3 linked regions of the Saccharomyces cerevisiae S288C genome follow. The protein of the gene in region 1 binds, or shares a complex with, the protein of each later gene. Each region holds a gene or a part of one and is shown on either strand. Other genes may lie near its edges.

The links. Proteins that work in one complex are often made in the same cells at the same time.
Region 2: SAS3 (region 1) and PDP3 share a complex: the UniProt entries of both Saccharomyces cerevisiae proteins name them as parts of the nuA3 histone acetyltransferase (HAT) complex.
Region 3: SAS3 (region 1) and EAF6 share a complex: the UniProt entries of both Saccharomyces cerevisiae proteins name them as parts of the nuA3 histone acetyltransferase (HAT) complex.

Annotation. Positions count from the first base shown.
Region 1 is NC_001134.8:116,960-126,512, forward strand, and holds SAS3 (histone acetyltransferase), read right to left. Parts: upstream 4,916-9,553; coding exon 2,420-4,915; downstream 1-2,419. Other genes in the region: TOD6 (Tod6p), read left to right, coding at 630-2,207; PIN4 (Pin4p), read right to left, coding at 5,794-7,800; alpha-soluble NSF attachment protein SEC17, read left to right, coding at 8,166-8,195, 8,312-9,160. UniProt on the Saccharomyces cerevisiae protein: Catalytic component of the NuA3 histone acetyltransferase complex, that acetylates H3K14. The NuA3 HAT complex has 2 functionally distinct forms.
Region 2 is NC_001144.5:1,051,772-1,055,257, forward strand, and holds PDP3 (Pdp3p), read left to right. Parts: upstream 1-1,857; coding exon 1,858-2,772; downstream 2,773-3,486. Other genes in the region: FMP27 (Fmp27p), read left to right, coding at 1-113; YLR456W (pyridoxal 5'-phosphate synthase), read left to right, coding at 3,299-3,486. UniProt on the Saccharomyces cerevisiae protein: Histone-binding component of the NuA3b histone acetyltransferase complex. Targets the NuA3b HAT complex via histone H3K36me3 to the coding regions of actively transcribed genes to coordinate transcription elongation.
Region 3 is NC_001142.9:581,200-584,133, reverse strand, and holds EAF6 (Eaf6p), read left to right. Parts: upstream 1-1,878; coding exon 1,879-2,220; downstream 2,221-2,934. Other genes in the region: YJR084W (uncharacterized protein), read right to left, coding at 1-401; ACF4 (Acf4p), read left to right, coding at 597-1,526; AIM24 (Aim24p), read left to right, coding at 2,518-2,934; YJR079W (uncharacterized protein), read right to left, coding at 2,895-2,934. UniProt on the Saccharomyces cerevisiae protein: Component of the NuA4 histone acetyltransferase complex which is involved in transcriptional activation of selected genes principally by acetylation of nucleosomal histone H4 and H2A. The NuA4 complex is also involved in DNA repair.

The sequences.
Region 1 (9,553 bases):
GTGCTGTTCTAAGTAACCCGGCGTTAGTAGGGGCTAAGCCTTCTAGAAGGCCGGAAAAGGCTCAGAAATGCCTGCAGTGCAAAGCTTTTCAGGAACGTTACTAGCGCAAGTCTTCTGGCTGCTGTTTAGCAACCTCTTTGCAGGTATTTCGCAGCGGGATTTCGCAGGTGTCTTGCCTAGCGTATCAACACTTAGTAGCAGTTAGGTTCTAAAGTTAAACTCCACTTCCGTTCTTCTTCGAGTTCCTTTTTGAGCGGTTTGGCCTATCTTGTCTCATCATCTTGTTAGTGTGCGACGTTATCTGTGGGTGAGAGAGGCTATTTTTGGTCCGGTGAAAAAAAAATTTTTTCTCTGCTGAGAGCTGAAATTTGAAAATTGAGATGAGATGCGATGCGATGAGATGCGAGACCAATGCGATGAGACACTTTTCTACTTCCTTACACAGAAGTCGTGTATAGTTTTTGTACGTTGATATTAATAAAGGCTTTTCATATCATTTTGTTTTCAGGTAAACAAATCTGGCAAATCTCCACTGCTTGAGTCATTAAAACTACTCACTCAAGAAGGCATATACACGACAGTGGGTAGAGAAAAGAATATATCACTGTTCTTATTGAAGTTCCCTCGCGATGACGTTGCCGAAACTCAGTAGCGTTTCTGTTTCATCAGGACATGTTAGTGCCAACTCACATGGTTTCTCAATACTAAGCAAACACCCTCACCCAAATAATCTTGTCCATTCCCACTCACTTTCTCACACAAATGCGAAGAGCCACCTGCCTATCAGTAGCACTAGCACTAAAGAGAACAGCACGAACAAGGAGGAGGCGGAATCACTCAAAAAAAACAACCCCTCTTCTTGGGACCCTAGTGATGATATCAAGCTCCGCCACCTGAAAGAGATCAAGAACTTGGGCTGGAAGGAGATTGCACATCATTTCCCAAATAGAACTCCTAACGCTTGTCAATTCAGATGGAGGAGACTGAAATCAGGCAACTTAAAGTCTAACAAGACCGCAGTTATTGACATCAATAAGCTATTCGGCGTGTATGCGACTGGTGATGCTACCCCATCCGCGGGTACTCCGTCTGCGGAAGAAGCCGTAAAAGAGGAAGCTGTTGAGGATGAAGATATTACTGCAGGTTCTAGTGCTATCGAGGATTCTCCACCGGATTTCAAGCCATTAGTTAAGCCTAAATACATGGACAGAAAACTGATAACTCAAAGATCTACATCAACATTTTCGGACCATGAGCCACAACACACGAAACCAAGGAAACTGTTTGTTAAGCCAAGGTCCTTCTCTCATTCTATAACAACCAACACGCCTAATGTAAAGACTGCTCAGCAGACAAATCTAAGCCTTTATAACACTACTTCAGCAAAGACAAATAAAGCTGTTAATTCCAATGATTATGAGAATATTGGTCTTGTGCCTAAAATTATTATCAGGTCTAGAAGGAACTCCTTTATTCCTTCAACTCAAATCCCTCATTCAACGACGAAGACTAGGAAAAACTCGCATTCCGTAATTTCTTCTAGAAGATCATCTTTTAACATGATGCATTCAAGAAGATCATCCTTCAACTCTCACGCTCCTACGGAGCCTATTTCTAGAAGAGCTTCCTTGGTAGTTAGCCCGTATATGTCACCCAGAAGGTTATCTACATCGCAATCCGTTCATTATCATCCACAGCACCAATACTATCTTAACCCCATAGCGTCTCCCAACTGCAAGACAGACCACGCAAATGACAAAATCACGCACACGAGGACTTTCTTAGATATGCAAAAATTCGCTAATAAACACCCGTGGTCTAGAGAAGATGATGAAGTGCTACTTAACAATACGAAGGACAAACAAAACCATTTGTCGCCGCTAGAAATTTCTATTGTTCTGCCTAATAATAGATCCGAGTTGGAAATCCAACAAAGAATGGATTATTTAAAGAGAAAAGGACGTGTAAGTGGTTTTCATACAAATGAAGGATGCAAAGACGAGGAGGAGGAGGATGACATTGACCCACTGCACAAGGAGAATGGCATTAACACGCCATCGCAGCAATCGCAAAATTACGGTATGTTAGAGGCTAAACATGATAATCCAAAGTCTAGTGAGCTTTCTTCTATGACCAGCGCAAATGACATACGCAATGAGCAAGATGAACTTCCAGGTATAAATTCTATCTTTAAAAATATATTTTAAGCTAAGAGACGAATTTAGTTTGTTTTGACTATTCGTTTAATGAGTACAAATTAATCGCACCCACACATGTACACACACACATATATATCTTTATATATACACATAAAATTTATTCGTAGGAGAATTCTGTAATACTATTGACTACAAGGGTTCTTATTGCTATTAATAATGTTACATGTATATGCTTATATCCAATATATACCCATCGCCGCTTATTCTTCGTCATCCTCTATTAGAGTTATTTTTCTTCTTTTTCTGACTCTCTCCTTCCTTATGTGGCTTTCTATATCGTTTTCATCCTGCTCTTGTCCTTTTCTCTTCCCATCCTCATCATCATCACTGTCTTCTTCATATGTGTCTTCCTCCTCATCATTTTCTTCTGATATTTGCTCATCCTCAATGTCATCATCAAGGGTAAAGTCTTCGTCTTCGTCTTCATCTTCTTTGGCGTTTTCACCTACATATAATTCAGTATCTACATCGTTTTCTACTTCATCCTGCTCTAAACTTGATATTCCAGTATCGTTTCTCCTAGCTGCATGATTTCCAAGTGGTGTTTCGGAGTTTTTAATAGTGAAGCAGAGCTCCCAATGAGTTTCTGTACTAAATTTTGATCTTGGTATCCCTTTGCGATCATGGATGCTTTCCAGCACTCTTTTTTCCGCTTGATAGATTAATCTATCATTATTTGTGTTCTTATAATCACACATATACTCTGTTAAGGAGGAAACAGTGTCTTCAAAAAAATCAGTAGCAGGTACTTCCGGTTCTATGATATTGTTTACATGAAGCTTGGATGTTTTGTGCTCACTACTTCTTCTTCTTCTTCTTCTGCGTTTATTATGTGCTCTACTGTTGTTATAGTTTTCTATATGTGTGTTATTCGAAATTACCGGAGCCATAGTTTCATTTGTAAGAGCTTCGTCCGCTAATGCGGTGGGTTCTAAGTTCATCATCCCATTTATACCAAATGACGGCCCTAATATAATAGGTTCCCACAATAGTTTGTCATATTTGACGCGAGGATAGTTTTTTGAGCTCCAAGTTTTGTAAATATTTTCAATCCTGTTCCAAGAATCGATTTTAATAATATAGTTGAAATCATCCAAACTGGATAATGAGCGTGTTTTATGGCGATACAAAACTTGAAGTTGTTCCAATCCAAACACAACGTCTGTTGGTATCATTCCTGTTAGTTTAGCGATATCGTTTAGGCTAACCTGCTGAAAAGTATCTTCATTTTTATTATTTGATCGACGTCTAGCACTGTCTCTTAATTTTAATAGCACTTCAGCACATTTTATCTTCCAAAACGTTCTGTAAGTCAATAATCCTAAATCCGACAATGGTTTTTCAGGAGTTCCAAATTTTGACTCCTTTCTGGATAATAAATATGAAAATTCCATCAAAAACTGACCATATCCTTTCCTCTGGTATATGGGTAGAGTTAAAATACAACTTAGGTTATAGTCATTGGAGTTGAATTTTTCCTTGGAGAAATAGCCTACGAAATGGAATTTGGCTGCGTTTTGATAGGGATGGTTCTCTGTATCCTCTCTCTCCGTTAGAATATAGAATATAAACGGTTCAACATCGTAATACAAAGTCTTAGAATTGATAAAACATTTTGCCAACAGGCAAAGATTTTGACAATACAAGACATTCTCCCGCCCATCAATTTCCCAAACAGACAGCTTACCGTCGCGATAAATTTCATTTCCGGGGGGCTTAAAAGTTAGACACTTTAGTTGGTGTCTATAAAAAGTATATCGAGAAGTCATATATTTTAGGCAGAACTCACATATAAAAACCATTTTATTTTGGTTGATGTGTTCCGGAAAAGGAGATGTATACCAAGGTTTAATTTCATAATTTCGAAGAACAATGTATTCTATCTGGGAAAACCACACTTTATTTTTGATTCTTGGTACTTTCCCTTTCCTTTTTTTCCTATCTTCGTTTTCTTGATCGGTTTCATTATGATTGCAAAGTGATACGTTACCATTAATGTACGTTGCAGACTTAGAGTTTTCTAAAAATGTAAGAAACTTTATTTTATCTTCCCAGGTGGGTAAAGTTCTTTTTGTACTGAAATCTTTCATTTTTTTTATTGTTCCGCCGTATGGTACGTACCATTGCCAAGAATCGTTATCCCTGAATGGCGTATTATCAGAAGAATATGGGTACTCCATGTTTTCGGTTGCTAGATCCCATGTTTGCTTTAACCTGTTAACTCTTCTTTGAAACCCGATTAGAGGACCGGATGATGTTATATTTTTGTTAACTAAAGGTGCTATGACTGAAGATTTAGATATTAGTCTTTCAAAATTGAAAAATTTGATAGAATCATACTTAATTCTAACCTTCAACTCCTCGCTGACTTCAATATTAGGTTCAATAATGGGGAAACTTACTGCTCCCATCTTATTGTCCCTATTAACGATATTTTGAGAAGAATTTTCTGACGCAAGTTTGGACTGCTGGGAAATCAACCCTTTTTTTATTTTATTAAGGCCTTTATCAGACCGAACACTTCCTCTTATTCGATGTGATATACTGGCATCGGAGTTGAATAGTCGTCTTGTAGTTCTATGTCCATTTGTATCGCTTCTGACAAATTGAGAATGTATCAGATCATCGATCTCTAAGTTTTTCAATAATGCATTTTTTTTGGGTTTTGGCGATTCGTCGTTTGCTGTTAATGACATTATCTGCAAATTATACGGAGACTAATTAATGAAGAAGGAAGAAGAGAGAGGGCGGTATGAATAACACCTATGAGAAAAGAATAGCAATGCTTTTCCTTTTTTACCTTTTATATTCGTTCTTTCTTCTTTTGCCTCTTTTAATATGCTTTGTTTCTGTGCTATTTTCCCGACTCTTTATTTCAAACAATGAAGCCCCCAATTAATCAAGAACCACCAAAATAGCATGTCAGTTGAACACTCAACGACTAAAAAAACGAATAATTTCTTGTTCAATTGGCCTGAACGTTTGACTATGAAACTTTCTGCTCTTCTCTGATCATTGTAAACAAAGAAATGTCAATAAATTATTGTTACCCGACTTTCTATATACTACAAATACCGCCAATGATGCAGTGAGCAAGATATCAATTAATGCAAAAACAATATCGAGTAAGGTAGAAACATCTCTGTGATTAAACATCGTACATATAAATACCATATATAAAAGTATGTGGGAAAAGAACGTTCAAAAAAAAAAAGTAAGTAGTAGGTTAAAAATAAAATCTCAAAAGAGGGAAAAAAAAAAAAGAGGGATAATTTTGGCTTGATTACATTGCGTTACTTAAAGTAGCCTCATCATTCATTCATTATCATCGTTTCATCGACATTAGGTGACGTTTCTCAGTAAAAATTAACTTCATCATGATCATTAATTTCATATTCATATTCGGTTATTTTTTTTTTTTTTTATATTTTTTTTCAATGGTGTTTTTGATGGTTTTTATTATATATATATATTTTTTTATCTTTTATCTTGTGTAAGCACCCCTCATTACTTGTATCGTGCGATATACAAATACCAAACAAACTCTATAATCATAGAATAATGGAAGTATATATTACCATAGATTCTTCTTGTTTTGGTTTTGTAAATCCAGTCCGCTTAAAGAACGATTCAAGCCCTGTTCCAAGCCATCATCTAGTCCAGAGTGACTCAAAGATTTATAGATCAAGTCGGCACTATTCAAATTGTGTGCGGACAACATGGACTCATCGTGATAAGACTGATATGAGAAATTAGAATGTACTGAGCCATTTGTGTGCTGTGGAAGCAGTTGGGACTGTGAGTTTGCTGAAGATGGGCCGTTAAGGTTGTACAACTGCTGGGAAGACAATGAAGCATTTTGGTATGCCACTGGTACCCGTTGTTGAGTTTGGGACTGTGCTGGTGGTTGCGCTTGGGATAGGGTTTGGCTGTTGATTGGGATTTGTGAATTTGGAGGTGAAATTTGAGAATTTCTCAGTAAGGGATTAACGGAATTGATTTGATAATGGTTGGCAGAATAACCGGATGGAATTCTTGAGGATGGTGTTAAAGTAGCTTGTTGTCTTAAAAAAGATTGTTGTTGTTGCGCAGCTGACTGAACATTTTGCTGTGTTTGTGGTTGAGGTTGTTGCGGTTGGTCTGCGGAATTGTATTGAGAACTATGGTGTATGTTCATTTTAGGTGAGGTTAGTGTTGGTTGCATGGAGAATTGTCCCTGTGAAGAAATTTTTGGTGTTGAGCTGGCGCTATTGTTATTAATGATGACATTGTTACCGTTACCGTTATTACTGTTAATAGTATTGCTGTTGGAAGAATTGTTAACGGCCTGATTGCTAATACTATTCGCTGCAGCTGCTGCATGGGCCTGTAACAAACTTGTATAAGATTGTGACCTATTCATGGAGCCGCCAGTGGAGTTTGGCTGCAAAGGATGAGCAGATGTCATTTGACCTTGTTGTTGCAAATGAGATTGTAAATTAGCATGATCCAGAATCTTTCTTCTGATAATAATAAATCTTGGATCATATACTTCTACTAGCCCTAAGTACGAGCACAAAACATTGATAATTCTCTTGTGGGAAGCGGATATACCCATGGGATAAGCCAACTCGTAATAATACTTTTCTCTATCCTTAAATAACAATAATTGGGAATAAATTTCCAAAGTGTCAGGGTCATTGAAGTCCAGTTGTTGGGGTGGGAGAGGCAAAGTGGAAGTTGATGGTAAAGGCGCATAAAATCTCTCAGTGGACATCTGGGCTTGATTATTAACGTTTGTTTGGTACAACGATGAAGAAGTATGTTGGGCAGAAAGTGAAGGTTGGTTCAGAATGATGTTACCACTATTGTTGTTATTAGAACTGTTATTGTTAATGGTATTATTCATTGGACTGTTCATCATGCTATTAGCATTAATGCCGTTCATTAGAGTCGAGAATAATTGATTGTTAGAAGTATTATTGTTTCCGCTTCCACTCATTTTAGATAAAGAATCCAAAGAAAGATTAGATGACGATCTGTGTTGTTCTTCTAATTGTCCTCTTTTCTCTCTCTTCTCCCTCTCGATTCTTTCTCTTTCAGCTTGGGGAAGCATTTTTTTATATTCCACTTTCAATTTCCTCCCGCTGATTTCCTTTCCATTCAAAGAAGTTATCACTTGAGTAGTTTCTTCAGGAGTGGTGAAATTCGCAAAGGCTAGTCCTCTGAAAATACCGTTATCAAAGTGGTAATTGAAGGCATAAGGAAGGGGAAGATCCATTTCTTCAATAATGTCTAACAATTGCTCTTTTTTAATAGCAAACGGAATGTTTTTAATAACAATAGCATTTGGGATAACATCATCGTCCAAAGCACCATTGGTGGGGGCATTATTCAAATTTGTAGAAGAAACGTTTTGTTCGGCATTTTTTGCAGAGTTCTCACCAGTTTCCGTTTGCACACCGTTTTCTTTGTCAATTGCATCTCTAGTTTCGATAGATTGCTGATTTGTTTCCTGGTCATTAGTCTCCGTATTTATATTATTATCCTGAGCATCATTGATGGCTGCAGGAGGAGCATTCTCAAAAGAACTGGTCTCCATTTCTTATTGTTGTTGAACACGCTTTCCCTAGTCTGTAGCCTGCCTCTATGAGTACTATATCACACTTCTTCTTGCGCTAATCTCCAAAGACCTGCTGGTAATCTCAGCTGAAAGGCTGCCTTTAATTGTTATTCTTTTCCAGGAAAAAATCGCAAAGTTGCAGCATCCGTGTTTCGTGACATCATTGAAGGTTACCCTAATCTATTACCTCGGATTAACTTGAATTAATAAGGACACACAGGTATAGGGAAGGTAAAGTTGAAGTAATGATAAGAAGTGGGCAGCACCGAAGCAGTTTATCTGAACTAACTTCTGTACGACTCGAGAATATAGTAAGAACACCATCATTAACCTGAAAGTTAAAAATGTCAGACCCTGTAGAGTTATTGAAAAGAGTATGTAGTAGGGAAATATATCAAAGGAACAAAATGAAAGCTATGTGATTCCGTAATTTACGAAGGCAAATTACTAACATTGAAATACGGGAATTGATATTTCCCGTTGTGTTAAGGCTGAGAAGAAGGGTGTTCCTTCATCGGGTTTCATGAAATTGTTTAGCGGTTCTGATTCATACAAGTTTGAGGAGGCTGCTGATCTTTGTGTCCAAGCAGCCACCATTTACCGTCTAAGAAAAGAGTTAAACTTGGCAGGAGACTCGTTTTTGAAAGCTGCTGACTATCAGAAAAAGGCTGGTAATGAAGACGAAGCAGGAAATACCTACGTAGAGGCTTATAAATGCTTTAAAAGCGGTGGAAACTCTGTGAACGCCGTGGATTCATTAGAAAATGCTATTCAAATTTTTACTCATAGGGGGCAGTTCCGGAGAGGTGCTAATTTCAAGTTTGAGCTTGGAGAAATTCTAGAAAATGATTTGCATGACTATGCAAAAGCTATAGATTGCTATGAGCTCGCTGGTGAGTGGTATGCCCAAGACCAGTCGGTAGCATTATCGAATAAGTGTTTTATCAAATGCGCAGATCTAAAGGCTCTTGACGGTCAATATATTGAAGCAAGTGATATATATTCGAAGTTGATCAAGAGCAGCATGGGCAATAGATTGAGCCAATGGAGTTTGAAGGATTACTTCCTAAAAAAAGGGCTTTGTCAGCTAGCTGCTACTGATGCAGTCGCTGCTGCAAGAACTTTACAAGAGGGTCAAAGTGAAGATCCGAATTTTGCGGATTCAAGGGAGTCAAATTTCTTGAAAAGTTTAATCGATGCTGTTAATGAAGGTGATAGCGAGCAGCTAAGCGAACACTGTAAGGAGTTTGACAATTTTATGAGACTAGATAAATGGAAAATTACCATTTTGAATAAAATTAAGGAGTCCATCCAGCAACAAGAAGATGATTTGTTATGAACGGCATATACTTACGCGCACATACATATATACATATATATTATAAATGTAACACTTGTTTTACCCGAAACGGCGAAGTAATTGTGTACCGCCGTGCACCTTTTCCTCGAGATAAACATATAGCGATGACTTAGAGAACAAAGTAGTATTAGTATCATATACTTCCAACGTTAATCAAGCGCAATAAACCTTTGTTCGTGTGTTTCAAAGTTATTGCAAGAGCGAAGTTGAAGCCATCTTTTCACGAGAAGTTAGCTGTGGTTCGAGTCTGTCGCACGCCGTGTAATGTAAGGATCTTCCCTTAGCTTTTCTGATCCGGAGCCCTTGAGGGATATTACGCATCGCGTATCTTCATACGATTACTGTACTTTGCTGACTTGCATTCTTGATATT
Region 2 (3,486 bases), on another chromosome or scaffold:
TTGGTAATAAATTGAAAAGAAATTCTAAGGAGAATAAAATTGCTGACGACACTTCACCACTGAAGCAACTCACAACTTATAATTCCTACACGGAGCCTGAAGAACTTCGTTAAAAACATTCAAAAAAAATTTATAGTTTTTCATATCTCTTAATGTAGCATCATACATATCAATATGTTACCATGTTTCAGACCTTTATTGCTGTACTACATTGAAATACCTAGGATTCGAAGAACAAAAAACATCATATAGGTCTTCCATTAGTAATGCCCATTATTTACTTAAAGTAAAAAAAATAATGGTCTCTAGCGGGATCGAACCGCTGATCCCCGCGTTATTAGCACGGTGCCTTAACCAACTGGGCCAAGAGACCATGAAAAGGACGTCAAAACAAGGTCACACGAAAACCATAACCTGTAGTATAAATATAAGACATCTCAAGCACTTGTTATTAATTAGGGAAATAGCTAACAGCATTTGAACGATAACTAAGGCAAACAATCCTCAGTAGTAATCGTTGGAAAAAAGATCTGAGAACTAGGTGAATTTTGTGATAATTGTTAAAATTCCATAGTTGATAAAGGCAATAACATTATGTATGCAGGATATGCTGAAGTTCTTCTCGAGGACATATGAATCCTCAAAGTGGAATCGGTAGTCCTGCACTATAATATTACAATTATTTTTCCTTTCGTTTTATATGCTTACTTATCCTATTACATTATCAATCTTTGCATTTCAGCTTCCATTAAGTCAGATGACTGTTTCTCAATCTTTATGTCGTCTTTTTATACCGCATATGATAATACACTTGTAACATGAACACTGGTCAATAGATGATGATAGGGTTTCGTTCCAACACCATCACGTTATCAATTCTTTCGTGTCAACTCCTCATTTACGTTATACTCTTTACATTGTGTATGGCAGTATACTAGTAGTGAGAATACTAGTCAATAGGTTATAATTGATTTTTATTTTAACAAGTAACATCTTCGGAAAAGCGACTACTATTCAACTAATAATCATCAATTTTTACTTCAAGAAAGCATAATAACGTCTGCATTTATGTGTGAGCAGGACTGAGCGATTCTGAGGGCACTTGTATTCACCAATTTGCAATAGCTGATCTTTACAATCTGCATGTTCCGATAACAAAAATAACTTGTAGGATAAATCCTCAGAGTTACATCGGTGTGTCAGGGAATGAACAGATAAAAGAAATAACGTCGCACTGTAAAGTGAGTAGCAGCAAAATTAAACTATTCGGACATTTTAAAACCCTATCAGTCGCCTTGGATGATAACCTTATTTCAACCACCTATCAATGAAAATGGCTTAAACTTCCCCAATTAAAAAACTCTGCAATAGCGTGTTGATTTCTTCCAGATTGATAGTTTGGTACAATACGGAAGAAACAAGGTCTCTCTCCATTTACATTACGGTAAGCTGTTCTTAATTGAACTTTGAAACATCCAATGGCGGGTAATAATTATAGTATTTTTCTTTTCTATTTTATTTATTTTTTTTTTTTTTTTTGATTTTCTAGAATAATCAATCAATGGTAAATAAACAAAAGTTGCTTCTGTTGTAAAAAATACATCAAAGGGGCTAAAATATCAATATACGTTTCGTTAAGTTCTGCAGAGAGATTTGGACATATCTATTTTTCTCTCAGATATTTGTTATTGCATATTGTGAGTTGACTACTGGTAAGCTTATATTGGAAGTTTCACAAGCATTCTTTTAGGACCTACAGTCGTTGCTCCTCCTGGCTTTTTTTCCCTTTTATTTTTTTCTGTTTTTACTTCCATTTCTTTTGTGATATTAGCTATCCCTGGTTTGGTCCGCAAGTTTATGACAAAAGATATTAGAACAGGCGATTTAGTGTTATGCAAAGTTGGCTCGTTTCCACCTTGGCCAGCTGTAGTATTTCCACAGCGTTTGCTGCGAAACGATGTATATAGAAAGAGAAAATCCAATTGTGTTGCTGTTTGTTTTTTCAACGATCCAACTTATTATTGGGAACAACCCAGTAGATTAAAGGAGCTAGATCAAGACAGCATTCACAATTTCATATTAGAACATAGTAAAAATGCAAACCAAAGGGAATTGGTCAATGCTTATAAGGAAGCAAAAAATTTTGATGATTTCAACGTATTTTTACAAGAAAAGTTTGAAGAAGAAAACAGGTTAAGTGATCTAAAAGCGTTTGAGAAAAGTGAAGGTTCTAAAATCGTTGCCGGAGAAGATCCCTTTGTAGGTCGAACAAAAGTAGTGAATAAAAGAAAAAAAAATTCAATATCCATCAAAGAAGATCCGGAAGATAACCAGAAATCAAATGAAGAAGAAAGCAAACCGAACATCAAACCGTCCAAAAAAAAGAGACCCACAGCTAATTCGGGAGGAAAATCAAACAGTGGCAATAAAAAGAAAGTTAAATTAGACTATTCCAGAAGAGTAGAAATTTCACAGTTATTTCGCCGCAGGATTCAAAGAAATCTAATCCAGAGAGAAACACCTCCTACTGAGCATGAGATCAAGGAAACTCATGAACTATTAAATAGAATATATGAGAATTCTGACACCAAACGGCCCTTTTTTGATTTGAAGGCCCTACGCGAAAGCAAATTACACAAGCTACTGAAAGCAATTGTTAATGATCCTGACTTAGGCGAATTTCACCCACTTTGTAAAGAAATTTTACTGTCCTGGGCAGACCTAATCACAGAACTGAAGAAAGAAAAGTTGCAAGCGCTACCTACGCCTTGATAATAATACTTATTGAATCAATTCAATATATCAACGTTTCAATATCCAATATTGTTTCATTTCATTTCATTTCAAATAAACAGTGTTTTACCGTTTGTTTTGTTTCCCTTCTTTTTTTCATCAAATGGTAATATTAAATTGATTTAATTATCCATCCATAAAAATTGTATTAATAAGTCATACACGTAATGTCACAACAAAATATCAGGCGTACTCTTGTGACGTACCAAAGCGCTTAGAAACGATAAAGGCCCGGGACAGAAATTTAAACGTCACAAGTGGGTGCAGCCCAGTTAACACTAATGTTAACGCACTTCTAGATACCTCATATATATAAATATTATCTAGAATTTCAAATTTGATATTCCTTTTCTATACTGAATAAACGATAAATACGAAGTTCAGAGTGCGAAAATTAGGGTTGCAGGCGTCTGATCTGAAAAACGTATAATTGATAGTGAAAATTATGCAACATTCTGCAAAGGAAAGTAAACCTTAAAAAAACAAATCTCTCAAGCCTTTAAAGATGAAACTCAATGAACAAATACCAAAAGACCTGTTACGCCTGATTAAAAGTTCCAAGTATGTTCATGTGGCGACATGCTCGTCAAATTGTATACCATCTGTTTCGTTGATGCATTACATATTTGTTTCATCCGCGGAAACTTTCCATAAACATGAGTATAGTATAGAAATAGATTGTAATGACTATAT
Region 3 (2,934 bases), on another chromosome or scaffold:
CCACATTCCTCAATTGAGTCTTTATTAAGTTCACTAGATTCGTTTGCCAGACGAATTAATTGTTTAGCCATTACCCACAGCGGATAAATTATCCAATTGGTTTCTCTTTCTACTATTCTGTTGAAAAGTTTCAACTGTTCATTGGCTAATCGCAGCAATTCCTCAGTAGCATTCTTGATCCGCCCTTGCTTCTTCAATGACCTCCGCTTGGAATACTTCAATTTTAGATCTACTCCTAATTGGTAAAACCTTTGTAATCGTACACTCTCTTCATCTGTCGCCGTAGGCCTTTGTAGTATATATTTAGTCTTTTTAGGTGTTTTAACGTCATATCTGATGAAGTCTAACAGTTTGTCGTCATAGCGTTTCTCTTCAAAATAACATCCTATATCAACATCCATGATTGGTTGTAGAAACCGTTGCTGGACCTTTCTGTTCCTGTGTAACTCTCTCCAGACATTCCTTTACATACAATTTTCTTTTTTTTTCCTGACCTTTATCGTTAGCTTTTTCAAAATCAAAAACAATACGATTGAGGAATACTACTAACTAGCCAAAAGCAATACAAAATACATCCATACATACGCCCTAAAGTAATGTCAGAAGACCAGCGTGTAATTAGTCAACCAATTGAATTACATAAGCTGTCGATTGTCGATAAACACTCCCAAGGACAGCAGCAACAGCCGCATCAAAAACAACATGAAGTGCAGCCTGAATCAAAATCACCAAGGGTTACGACACCTTTAAAGCCCAAAAGACTTGCTATACCTATATCAAGTCCGCAAAGATCTACGACAAATCAGTCACCCGTGAGCGACCACGCAAGTCCGATTTCAACAGACCAAGATTTAATATATAAATTAGCTGCAAAACACAGAGAAATCAATGAACTTAGTTTCAAATTAGAGGTCGCCCAAAAAGAATTAAAACAATTAGAGTTACAGTTCAAAGATACACTGCCCCGAAATGGACAACAGAAATTAGGTAACCAGAACCCAAGTGAATACCTCTCTACTTTTACCAAAAGAATTCAACAGACATTTGTGGACGTAAATAATTCACCAAATATGCTCAAGGGAAAAAAGAGTATAAACGATTTTTTTAGTAAGCCCAATAATAATGTTAATAGCAACATAAATAACACTCTACCCAATCGTAAACCGAACCCTCCGCCTAATCGGTCACAACGTATGCAAAATATTGCTCCAAGCCGTAGTTCAGAATCAACTCCAACATCGGGTCCTCCCTTGCTACCCCCAAGGAATACTATGAAGAATGCTAATACCACGGCAACTGCTGGGGAGAACACACCATTCTTACAAAGAATACTTAACAAATTCAATCAAATGAATATGGAAGAGGACGAATTCGATGACCTTTTGGAAAAGAGGAAAAGTAAGAAAGATCACTATTACATAAAAGAAAATTTGGGTTACGAATACGATGAAGTACGCAGTGAAGACGAGGATGATGAAGAGTTTGAACCCATGGGTGACATACCCGTTCATTTATTTAAAAGGTAGCTAATGTCCACTATTGATGCTTTCTCAAGAGACCTTCATATGTAATATTCTCATTAAATACAAAGATTAAACGGCTTCATTTATGCATTCCTTTATTTAGGTAAATTTTTTTTGCCCGATTTTTGGTACTACTGCTTTCCTTTTTTAAATGTAATTGATATTTTTAAAAAAACCTCACATGTAGGCGATTAACCCAGGTCCTTCAACAACTTGCCGACTATGCCATTAAATTAATGATTAAAGGTGTGTAAAGCCACAACGAAAGCAAAGAATATACGTAAGATAAACATCTTTAGAGAACAGCCATTTTCCATCATCTTTCCGTTTGTTACCAACCTACGCCTAGAAGAAAATGACTGATGAGCTGAAAAGTTATGAAGCATTGAAAGCGGAACTAAAAAAGTCCCTCCAAGATAGAAGAGAGCAAGAAGATACCTTTGACAACTTACAACAAGAGATATATGATAAAGAGACCGAGTATTTCTCACACAATAGTAATAACAACCATTCAGGTCATGGGGGAGCCCATGGGTCAAAATCACACTATTCTGGTAACATCATAAAAGGGTTTGATACCTTCTCCAAGTCACACCACAGCCATGCAGATTCTGCATTCAATAACAATGATCGTATTTTTTCATTAAGTAGTGCTACGTACGTGAAGCAGCAGCATGGCCAATCACAAAACGACTAATGCGATAGCACACGTTGGTATTTACGTTGCTTGACCGCTCTAAAACATCTGATTGAAAAGAAAAAGAGAGAAGAAGGAAATGATTTCGACAGGTGACCTTTAAGTTCGATATACCTACATATTGGCTATTTCTTTTATTTTTCATTTTCTATAAAATATCTATATAAGTATTTTTATAACGATTTACTAACAAGGGCAAAATTTCAAAGGTCCCGTGCTCCCAGTCATTTTATTGGCTGGCGAATAAACGGATACAGATAAACAAAACAGAAGCACAGAAAAGGATATCCACCCATCATGATAAGCCCAAGGGTGAATACTCGAGTTTGGCAGAGATCAATTTCTCTTTTGAGCCCACAAGCGGCCAAGACGGAGAGTAATGTCGTAACTAAAGAAAGGACATATATCGAGAACTTAAGCAAGGATATTGCGACTTCCCGTTTCAGGCTAGTAGACGAAAATGGTAAAATTGCATCTATCACTGTTCAACCAGATATTCCAATTTGTATCAAAAAGGATTGCCTAGTTTCCATTCACAATTTGAACCATTTATCCCTTTCCTATAAATGGCTGAATTTTTGGTCAAACCTGATTAAATTTCGTTCATTCAAATCTTCATTGTTTCATAGAATTATTGGATCCTCCGTTTTAGAAATTCTGGCTGCCCCAAACTTTCAAACATCGAGAAGACCTTTCGATTCTTCAAGAAGCTTG